Linked DNA regions of Schizosaccharomyces pombe. Changing the gene in region 2 together with the main gene of any one other region gives a genetic interaction. Each region holds a gene or a part of one and is shown on either strand. Other genes may lie near its edges.

Region 1 (5,450 bases), on a different chromosome or scaffold from region 2:
TGCAGGCTCCAACCCATTCACAAAGCTAACTTTCCTTCCTTTGGCAAATTGCAACAACTCAGAAGGAGTCAAGTTCACCTTTCTACTAGGCTTTGATACTGCACGTATGTAGTGAAGAACCGGTTTTCCCTCAAAGTACTTTAAACCCAACCATAGACGGCGGGTCGCTACATTTTGCCTAGTGGTGATTGTGGGTAAAGCATCGGGTCCATGAATATCTCCGCGTTGAATCGAGCTTAAAAATCCTTGATGATACAAAACAGCACATAACTCGAGCACACTGTTACAGTTAGGAACGCTTGCTAACGACTTGCGAGCGCGAAATGAATTTTGCAAATGCGAAAAAACATAATGCAATTGCATTTCGACTTTTTTAACACAATCCTAATCTTTTATAAGCAGTCCAACAATAAAAGCCTTTTTTTTCTATACAGAATGGTGTTTTGAGGAAAGAAAAGAGGTATGAATGCAGTTTAGCTAGTCACTTCCAAATACCTCTCTCTGTACTGGAAGAATAGTAAGTAGTGAACGGTGTAGCTAGTGTTACACACTATTAGCAAGTTAATGGACATTGCAGTAATCACTGGATAGTAGTATATTAACGACACGATACTAAAGTTCACAATAAATCACTATATAATAAACTAAAAGCACCGGTTTACTATGTTTGGAAAACAAGGCGCAAAATTGCAAAACCAACGGTTATTACGGCAAAAGCCGTCTACCAAATGTTAGAGATTTACTTTGTACAGAATAAAATATGGATCTAAATCGCTGTGTCAATCTGTTAATATTATAGCATTCAAATTACCATGAAACCCACAAAGTTGTCAGAAGTGGGAAGCGAATTTTTGTGCGTTTAGTAGTTCCAAAATCCTCGAAAGGTATTCGCAAATGTAATAATCGAAAAAATTATAATAAGCAGTGTTCAAAAAAACAAGCGGTACAACAGCGAACGCCTGTAAAATATAGGGATGTAAAAAAGCATTTGAATACAATGTAAATTCACAATTGTATAGGATTATAAAAATTTTTTATAAAATAATGGCATAACGAATTCTTTACTGATATTTTAATTACAGAAAAGAAAACGTGAATTGAAAACAAAAGCCTAACAGTATGGAGAACGATTTATAATGCTTCTTTATGTGGCCGATCGTCCAGAAATTACTGATTTACTCAGTATAATATATTGATTTAATTAAGTTTCGCTTCTTAAAAAGGTTGTTAGTTTCGGTAAGCTGTTTAACGAGTATTACACAAAGCACAAGGCATTTTAATTTCATAAAAAAATGTCCGTTTTAATTTGAAAGACGTTCGAAATCAACACTTTTCAAAAATCAGTGCAATTACCGAAATCATTTACTTGAAAGTTGCCAGATTAATATTCTCAAAAGCAGGTTGTAAAAATGTATTATAACTATAAAGAGGATTTCAAGCAAGCAAATATAACAAGAAAAAGAAAACAAGTAGTAATCATTGATTTTGAACCTCCCGGTATTGTTAATATAGAACTAGTAAACAAATAGTAATTCAATGTACTATAATTTTCGTCAATGGTTACAAATAACAATTGGGTTCACTTTTATTGAATCACAACCACGATATAAAGAAAGAAGGGTTAAAACTCAAAAATCCGTCGATTTGGAACCTTTAAAAAAACATAAACCTATACAAAATTATGCGGTAATTTAAGAAAAGCTGTTAAAGATAAGCTTATATTTCTTATGTTCAGAAATTAAATAAGACTTATGTTGCGTTTGCGTGCTCAGAGAAGTATAGAAATAGACCTTAGTATATAGAAAATTCGAATGTATTAAGCATGTAAATAACAAAGTGATAAATAAAATATTTTCTTGATAGTTTTTTGATTTAATATAGTTTATAACTCAAGTAGGTTTTATATACAAGACAACTATGATGAGTCCTAATCTAGGGTTTGGTATATATAAGCTTCCAACCGCCAAAGCGAATTGTCTTCAGCCAACTCGTCCTTTATGATTCAGAGTGAGTAGGATGTCGTATAAACCAAGCTCAGAAATAGCTTTACGTCCCGGTTATGGAGGGTTGGGCAAGCAGATTACTTTGAAAGCTAACTTTTTTCAAATCATTTCTTTACCTAACGAGACTATCAACCAGTATCATGTAAGTTCCTAGAAATCGCACATTTTTATGGAATTAGAGCACTGTAAAGGAAATTTACACATTTAAAGTAAAAGCATAACAGAACACGTGGCCTTTCTTGTCTGAAATATAAATATAAATACAGAAATAAATCGTGCAAGTGTTACTGGAATTGTTTAAAGGTACTTGTTAGCTTCATTCGTTATTCGACTTTACTTTACTATACCTGGTTTATTTTCTCACTTTCTTTTAATGTTCTGTTGTTTACTTTGCCTGCTACATCATTTTGTATCTGTCTTGCATTGCACGATTCTTTTCTTTTGTATTTCATCTCTTCCTCAAATTTTGTACATTAACGTAGAATTGCATCAAATTAACGCCTTTTGTTGTAGGTCATAGTAGGTGATGGTTCACGTGTCCCACGAAAGCAATCCCAGTTGATTTGGAATTCTAAAGAAGTTAAACAGTATTTTGGATCTTCCTGGATGAATTCTGTTTATGATGGGCGAAGCATGTGTTGGTCTAAAGGTGATATTGCTGATGGCACCATCAAGGTAAACATAGGCAGTGAGTCGCACCCTCGAGAAATTGAATTCTCTATTCAAAAATCATCTAAAATTAATTTGCATACTCTTAGCCAGTTTGTAAACTCAAAGTATTCTTCGGATCCGCAAGTTCTAAGCAGTATAATGTTTCTGGATTTGCTGTTAAAGAAGAAACCATCTGAGACTTTGTTTGGCTTCATGCATTCTTTTTTTACAGGTGAAAACGGAGTTTCACTTGGAGGTGGAGTAGAGGCTTGGAAAGGGTTTTACCAGTCTATACGACCGAATCAGGGTTTCATGTCTGTTAATGTAGATATATCTTCGAGTGCATTTTGGCGTAATGATTCTTTACTTCAGATCCTTATGGAATACACAGATTGCTCGAACGTTAGAGACTTAACACGTTTTGACCTAAAACGTCTTTCCCGCAAGTTTCGGTTTCTAAAGGTGACCTGTCAGCATCGCAATAATGTCGGTACTGACCTGGCGAATAGAGTTTATTCCATCGAGGGATTTTCCTCAAAAAGTGCCAGTGATAGCTTTTTTGTTCGCCGTCTTAATGGTGAAGAGCAAAAAATCTCTGTAGCTGAATACTTTCTTGAAAATCACAATGTTCGTTTGCAATATCCTAACCTACCTTGCATATTAGTAAAGAACGGGGCGATGCTTCCTATTGAATTCTGTTTTGTTGTAAAAGGTCAGAGATATACTGCAAAACTGAATAGTGATCAAACTGCCAACATGATCCGTTTTGCGGTCCAACGACCTTTCGAACGTGTCCAGCAAATCGATGATTTTGTCCATCAGATGGATTGGGATACAGATCCCTACCTAACCCAATATGGTATGAAAATTCAGAAAAAGATGCTCGAAGTTCCAGCTCGTGTTTTAGAAACTCCTTCTATTCGTTACGGAGGAGATTGCATTGAGCGTCCCGTTAGTGGACGTTGGAATTTACGTGGTAAACGGTTCCTTGATCCGCCGAGGGCTCCTATTAGATCTTGGGCTGTAATGTGTTTTACTTCAACGCGTAGACTCCCTATGAGGGGTATTGAAAATTTCCTGCAAACATATGTACAAACACTCACTTCGTTGGGAATTAATTTTGTTATGAAAAAACCTCCAGTTTTGTATGCAGATATTAGAGGGAGTGTTGAAGAACTATGTATAACGTTATATAAAAAAGCTGAACAGGTTGGTAATGCTCCTCCTGACTATCTCTTTTTTATTTTGGATAAAAATTCGCCTGAACCATATGGTTCCATTAAACGTGTTTGCAATACTATGTTAGGGGTTCCTTCTCAATGTGCTATTAGCAAACATATTTTACAAAGCAAGCCCCAATACTGTGCAAACTTAGGCATGAAGATTAATGTCAAGGTTGGAGGAATTAATTGCTCGTTGATACCCAAATCCAACCCTTTGGGAAATGTTCCTACTCTTATTCTTGGTGGAGATGTTTATCACCCTGGGGTTGGTGCAACAGGTGTTTCGATTGCTTCAATTGTGGCATCGGTAGACCTAAATGGCTGCAAGTATACGGCTGTTTCACGTTCCCAACCTCGTCATCAAGAAGTGATTGAAGGAATGAAGGATATCGTGGTATATCTATTGCAAGGGTTTAGGGCAATGACTAAACAACAACCACAACGTATTATCTATTTCCGTGACGGTACCTCGGAAGGACAATTTTTATCAGTAATAAACGATGAGCTTTCTCAGATTAAAGAAGCGTGTCATAGTCTATCACCAAAATACAATCCAAAGATTCTAGTATGCACAACGCAGAAGAGACATCACGCTCGTTTCTTCATTAAGAACAAATCCGACGGAGATAGAAATGGAAATCCCCTCCCTGGTACAATTATTGAAAAGCATGTTACTCACCCCTATCAGTACGATTTTTACCTTATATCCCACCCATCTCTGCAAGGCGTTTCGGTCCCAGTTCACTACACGGTTTTGCACGACGAAATTCAGATGCCACCGGACCAATTCCAAACACTGTGTTATAATCTTTGTTATGTTTATGCAAGAGCAACAAGTGCTGTTTCCTTGGTTCCACCTGTTTATTATGCGCATTTGGTTAGTAACTTAGCCCGTTATCAAGACGTGACAGCCGATGATACTTTTGTTGAGACATCAGAAGCATCAATGGATCAAGAAGTAAAGCCGCTTTTAGCTCTATCAAGTAAATTGAAAACAAAGATGTGGTATATGTAATGTTTGATGGATTGCATGCAATAAGTAATGAAATAGATATACGATTGACTACTGGATTGCCCACAACTTTTACTTCCTTATTAAATCTGCTTCTGTTTTTATTTTGCTTTATATTATTGTAATTTTCTTTAATCATTTAATGTTAGTTTTTTTATGCTCTATCCACTGTTGATAGCTTGACCATGTTCCAACGATCAACAAATGTTGATAACGATAATACTAATGACATTCACTTAACCCAAAGCCCGAACTTTATGTAAGTGTCACGCCAATATAGAAATACAGATAAACTAAATGATACTTAAGGATCTCAGAAGAAGTGATTAAAATCGATAAATTCCATGCACAATGGTTGAACAACCAATTTACCTATTTGTCTAATTCAGATTCATCTAGCTTTTTTATTAAGAAAAAACATCATTCAAAGCAAAATCATTCAAATTTGAAAACAGCCTGTTTGAAGAGAATCAGAATTTCTAATTTTTTAGAGTATTTGGGTTAAGTTCAAGAACCAAACATTGCATACTGTGTTAAGATTTCGTTTAGAGGAGCAAAAAC
Region 2 (5,924 bases):
TCGTTCAATGCTTTGATTATGGGTCTGTAATTGTACCAAACAGTGTAATAAGAATCCCTAGCATGTTACTATAAATATCTAGTATTCGTTGCAAGATGCTCATTGTGTAACACACTTTTATAAGTTCTACAGGATGTGGAAATGAGCGGATAATTATTGTCCTGCGTAGTACTAATACTTAACTATAGCTAACCATTTTAAACGTTGCTGGTTATGCAATTAGAATTACACTATGGCTATCAATGTGTTTCCTGTTTCAATAATTTGGATTTTTTAAGCTCGTCGAATAAACAAAGCTGCCATAAAGTACAGCGAAGTCATCAACAAAAAAGTTATGGATTATTGTACTTTTCATGCACAGCAAAAATATTTAAAGATGTTTAAATATATATAAATATTATGAACGTAGACAATGCTTGCAAGTTTAAATAAACTTTAAAAAATCGACTTCTATAGCATTTGCCTACATATGTCACTTGTTTACGTTTTGACATTTCTCCTTATTAACCCACCATTCCACCACAATTGTAAAAATTATTATCAAATTTATATATTTCTTTACCGCTAGAATTCAATTTTACAAGAAAATTTTATCCCTTGCTTATAAAGACTCTGTGAATTAAAAAAAAGTCTCGTTTCCTTAGAAAATTTGTTTTTCCGTTGAATAAGGCGCTTTCAGTATTACTTGCCATTGGAAAGTGGTAGAATGTTTAATTAATGGTTTTTTTTTTGTTAATATTTATCTATTTAACCCAATTTTTTTCATTTAATACACCACTTCAGACGAATGGCTTCTAACCCTAATGCCGTTGAACAAGAAATTCTACAAGCTGTCAATTCGGCTCAAACTACCGATAAACGGAAAGCTCATGAGCAATCATTAGCATATCTTCCGGTGGAGGAAGAAAGAGGAGTTAATGTTGTTGGCTCAAAGATGAAACCCCGCTACATTGCTTTGACTTGTGATGATGTGACTCGTATTTTTTATATACACAGATTGAAAGTAAATGATAAAGGCGGAATGACAGTCGTGAAATCCTGGCCTTTATTTGAGTTGCAGAATATTACTGTAATTAATGATCATGATGTTACTATGACAATAAACAAGCCACATTTGTTGCGAACTCAGGACACTTCTGCTCGCGATCGATTTGTTTTTTCTGTTGCTAAAAATTATATGTACTATATGGGCAGGCCGCTTTCAGTGACTACGACTGATGGCCGCAAAGTGGACTGGGCCTATCGTAATTCCTTTGCTGATAACAAACCTAATCTCTATCCTGCAAAGAGCCTAGCTATTCCTAAAGCAAGGTCATCATTACCTGAAAATTCTTCAGAACAAGTTTCCTCATCTTTTAACTCTCGAGTCGCACATAACCGTAATTTTTCGGACGGCCCAATTGTTACCAATTTAGAAACGGATCAGCCTCGCATCGAGAAGAAGCTCACTATTGATTCTTCTCGATCAGCCAAAAAGAAGTTGAGTGTTGAAAAAGAAAGACGGTTTTCTGACAATAAGCCTTCTTCCAACGTTTCCCGGGGGACCCCATCATCTGCCCATAGTGATGTTATAGAAATTTCAAGTTCTTCTGCCATTGCAAGGACTTCAGGAGACCGAAAAGATGATGTCTTATTCGATACTTCAACTCAAAGACGAGATAATCAAACACGGGAAATGTTTATTCAAGAACAAGCTCAATTGTTTCCATCTAAACCTTCTTTACGTAAAACTACTCGTCGTGAACAAGCACCCTCATTTAACAGTGGAACGAGTTCTTCGGAAAGGGGTAAGAATAGCATCAGTGGTTCTTACGAGAAAAATACAGCTTTGGCACTAGAAGCTGGTAAGTATAATATGTCTCAAAAAGACGTGAAACTAAGCTCTTCTTTGGAGTCAAACACATTTGCTAGCGATTTTAGTAAAGTGGATCGTGATGCTACCCAGGCAGCTTTATCTTCTAGCTTAGAAACTCCTTCAGTATTAACGTCATCTTACAAGCCTTCCAGTTCGTCTAAAGTATCAGCAAAGTCTGTTTCTCGAAAACCAACAGGAGCACCGGCTATTCCTAAATTACCTCCAAAGCACCCGTCCCGTCAGCCAACTGTTCGGGCAACTCCTTCGACTGGTAAACAAATCGAACCACCAAACGACGAGCCTTCTATAGGAAATGAACTTCTTCCCCTTTTTGAAAGTTTGCGCTTTGAAAATAGAAAAACCACTTCCAAGCCAAAAGCCAAGAAAACTCTTGTTACTTCCATTCCGACTAAACCGCACCAAGCTTCTGTTGAAAAAGTTTACGATCTTAACTCAAAAATCAACCTCAAAAACATTCCGGAGCAAAGCATTTCTCGTCTTTCCACTTTGAAGTGGAATGAAGGTACAACTATAAAAGATGTATTGAAACAAACAGAATTTTCGTTTGATGGAGCTATCATAAGCAGTGTGGAAAACCTTGCTGAAGAAGAAATCGAATTGCAAAACATTAAGAGCCAACTTCAAGATTGTGCTTTAGGTTGTGAGTCTATCAATTCAACCATCAACTTATTTTCCCTAGAGTTGTCTACTGCATTAAATGGCGTCATTAATATAGAGCAACAACCAAGCCGTAGATGATACAAATGCTTCACGACAAATATCGAAAGATTAAAATACTTATTTATTTGAACTAAACGGAATCCAGATGATGAGAGTTATCTAATAGACGCTTTTGAGGTAGAGGAATAAGTATATTTTCTTTAAGTAAAAGGTTAGATATCTGCTCTTCTCCGAGATATGGCGTCCATCTTAGAAGTTTTGGATTTACTCTTTGAGGGTGTTTGATATTCCAAGCTTTATAAACATTCTCAAGTTCATCCCGTTTCAGTTGTAATACATATTTCTTTTTGAGCGGATCATACTTAAATACAGATAACGATTCCAATGTGGATATAACATCGTCGCATACCATAGATGTTGATTTGGCGATAGCATTTATGCTAATCGGTGTTGTGATTTCCAATAGAGCTTTGGCTACTCTCATTTTCCAATAGCTTCGGTACGTAACGAGGCCTAAATCTGAAAGTGGCTTTTCAGGTGATCCAAGCTTACCTTCTACCTGTGTAAGTAAATAACTAAAATCAATCAAAAAGACACCATATCCTCGGCGTTGGTAAATGGGTAATGTTAATATACAGGAAACGTTATAATCAGAAGCCGAGCGTTTCTCTTTACTGAAATATCCAATAACTTTGCATTCTTGGCCATCAAATTCAGTCAATACATAGAAAAGAAACGGTTCAACGTCATAGTACAGCATTTTTGAATGAAGAAACATCTTTGCTAGAAGACATAAATTTTGACAATATATCTAAGGAAAAACATCAATAAGTATAAAATGCATAAAAAATTACTTACCGGTTGCCGTTGACCATCAACTTCAAAAATTGATATATTCTTATCCCGATATATTTCATCTCCTGGTGGATAACTCCATGAGCATTTCATCTGATTATGTTAGTCCGTAAATTCAATTTGGATAGATTATGATCTTTTAATGTACACCTCGTTTAAACTCAAGCAATAGCGAATAACATTATGATCTTACTTGAAAAGTTGTTTACCTTGTGCCTTTGTAGTACATGATCACTGTTCATATACTTTAAACAAGATTCGCATATATATAAATTTTTTGCACAGCTATACTCCTCTGGATACGGTGATGTATACCATGGTTTTATCCGGTAAGTACCAAAATAGAGGTATCGAATGGAGGTTGGTTGTGGTGGAGGCGTTCGCAACTGTGTAGATAAAATAGGATCGGAAAATGAATAAGCCACATCCTTTGTCCTATCTGCTACTGTCTTTGCTTTTTCAAACAGCCTCACATCGTCTTGGTTGAGTCTCGTAATCGATGTGTCAGCTTGCCCTTTAGTTAATAGACCCAAAAAAGTACTTTCCGAATTTAACTCTAATAAATGTTTCTTATAAAATGGATATCTGGAGGAGTTTGTATCAAACTTTATTATTAACAAAGTCTTTGAACTGGCTGTGGATTTCAAAATAGTCGCCGGCATTATACATAAAAAAAAAAGATTGTTTATATTTACAGATCGTTCATAGTTTTCCTAATGGCCCCATTTAATCCTTTGGTCAATATAATTGAGTTGGTGGTAGTGCCCTCATTCTCTTCTTAGTTCTTGCTTTACTTCCACCTCCATCCGATCTCTGCAAAGATAACCCTTTCACTCTTGTTAAATAAAAAACTACTCATATTTTTTACTTTTGTATTCTGAAACAGTAACCATTCATAACTTCACTGTTAGCTTTTTGATTGAATGCCATTACAAACGTTGCGTATAAATACTACAAAGTCACCTTGGGTGATTCAACGATAAGTTTTACATTAGTAGTTTTAATGCCACTTTAATTATTCTCTAATTTCGACTTTATTTTCAAGTAATGTAATGATGATAAATGCAGAAATTTTTTAAATATGAACACGTAGAAAAGTAAAAAAAATATCATGTAAAGGGTGAGTACACTAAATTAAGTGTAAGAATGCAAAGGAAGCAGCATCAGAACTATATGAAATTGTTACCATAATTTTCTAATTTTAAAAAAGCAGAAGCAAAGGACAAGCTAATTCTATTCAGTAGCAAAACTGGAAAATCCTCTGAAACACTCTTGTTGTTGTCGTGTGAGAACAGTATTGACAGGTGTCAAAGTTGGACATGCACCTAATCGATCGTTAGTAATTAACCATATTTTAACAATTGTCATACTTGTAAATTCTTCATCAAAATTATTGAGGTCTCGGGGATCGTTGATAAGCGGTTTATATGATGGTTCATAAAGTTTGTTATACAAGTCATCCCAGACAATACTAGCAAAGAAAGGATGAGCCATAACCTCGTTTGCGTCTTTTGGTCCACTACCAAGTCGTTGATTTGGATCTCTTGTTAAAAGCTATTTTTTGAATTAGTTAACATATTTAGAAATTTGCATACCCCTCTCAATAACGAAACCGCATCCGCTGGCATATTAATCGGAAACAACGGTTCATCGCTTAAAATCGCATCGAATATTTCCTCTTCATCTTCACCTTTGAAAGGGGATTGACCCAGTAACATTTGATACATCAAAACGCCAAAAGCCCACCAATCAACATCCTTGGAATATTGCTGTTCTAATAAAATCTATTTTCGTTAGATAAAATAAACCAAAACAAGTTCCGCCTTACTTCTGGAGCCATGAATTCGGGGGTACCACAAAAGGTGGAAGTTGTATTGCCAAGCAACATATTTTCTTTGCAGAGTCCATAATCAGCAATTCGTATATGACCATCAGGACAAAGTAGAATATTATCCAATTTCAAATCACGGTAAGCAATTCCATTCTCATGAAAATACTTCAATGCTAAACAAACCTCAGCACCATAAAATCTATGGGGTTAATAAAAAATAAAAATAAAAATAAAAATAAAGATTGAAGTACTACCTTGCACGTTTCACGCTAAACTGTTGACGTTGAATATGAACCATAAGGTCACCACCAAGAATATATTCCATAACGAAGTAAACCCTGGTACTAGTTTGAAAGCTTGCAAAAAGATTCAGCAAGAACGGATGTTTTTCTTTATTCGCGACTTCGAAAACATGCTTTTCAGTTTTTAAACTCTCTAGTTCCTCATTCTTTAAAATGGCTTCTTTTTTCAGAACTTTGATGGCATAAAACTTTTTATTCACTTTATATTCAGCCAACATAACCTTGCCAAAATTGCCTTTCCCTAATACAGCCAAAAATGTGAAGTCGTCAAGCGTAACACGATTCTTTTTCTCTCTGCGTGGACTTTCTGGAACACTTCTATTAGCATCCTTGGAAGACGATAAGCTAGCACTGGAAGGTGGAGCAAGAACAGAAGCTGGAGTAGGAGTAGAAGAGGAAG

Evidence for each region.
Region 1: of mst2 (region 2) and ago1, changing one suppresses a phenotype caused by changing the other (phenotypic suppression), as found in Schizosaccharomyces pombe (4 studies listed by BioGRID, with this or other methods).

What each region holds. Positions count from the first base shown.
Region 1 is NC_003421.2:332,121-337,570, forward strand, and holds ago1 (argonaute), read left to right. Parts: upstream 1-1,958; 5' UTR 1,959-2,016; coding exon 2,017-2,145; intron 2,146-2,351; exon of another isoform or gene 2,352-2,516; coding exon 2,517-4,892; 3' UTR 4,893-4,950; downstream 4,951-5,450. Other genes in the region: mrps8 (mitochondrial 37S ribosomal protein uS8m), read right to left, coding at 1-363. UniProt on the Schizosaccharomyces pombe protein: Required for G1 arrest and mating in response to nitrogen starvation. Ago1 regulation of cytokinesis and cell cycle checkpoints occurs downstream of dcr1. Required, indirectly, for regulated hyperphosphorylation of cdc2.
Region 2 is NC_003424.3:2,362,781-2,368,704, forward strand, and holds mst2 (histone acetyltransferase Mst2), read right to left. Parts: upstream 4,155-5,924; 5' UTR 4,054-4,154; coding exon 3,601-4,053; exon of another isoform or gene 3,485-3,600; coding exon 3,395-3,484; exon of another isoform or gene 3,348-3,394; coding exon 2,667-3,347; 3' UTR 2,615-2,666; coding exon of another isoform or gene 788-2,614; 3' UTR 719-787; downstream 1-718. Other genes in the region: exocyst complex subunit Sec3, read left to right, coding at 788-2,614; protein kinase C (PKC)-like Pck1, read right to left, coding at 4,625-4,716, 4,762-4,945, 4,987-5,175, 5,220-5,421, 5,477-5,924. UniProt on the Schizosaccharomyces pombe protein: Component of the mst2 complex which is a highly specific H3 lysine 14 (H3K14) acetyltransferase that functions together with gcn5 to regulate global levels of H3K14 acetylation (H3K14ac), critical for DNA damage checkpoint activation.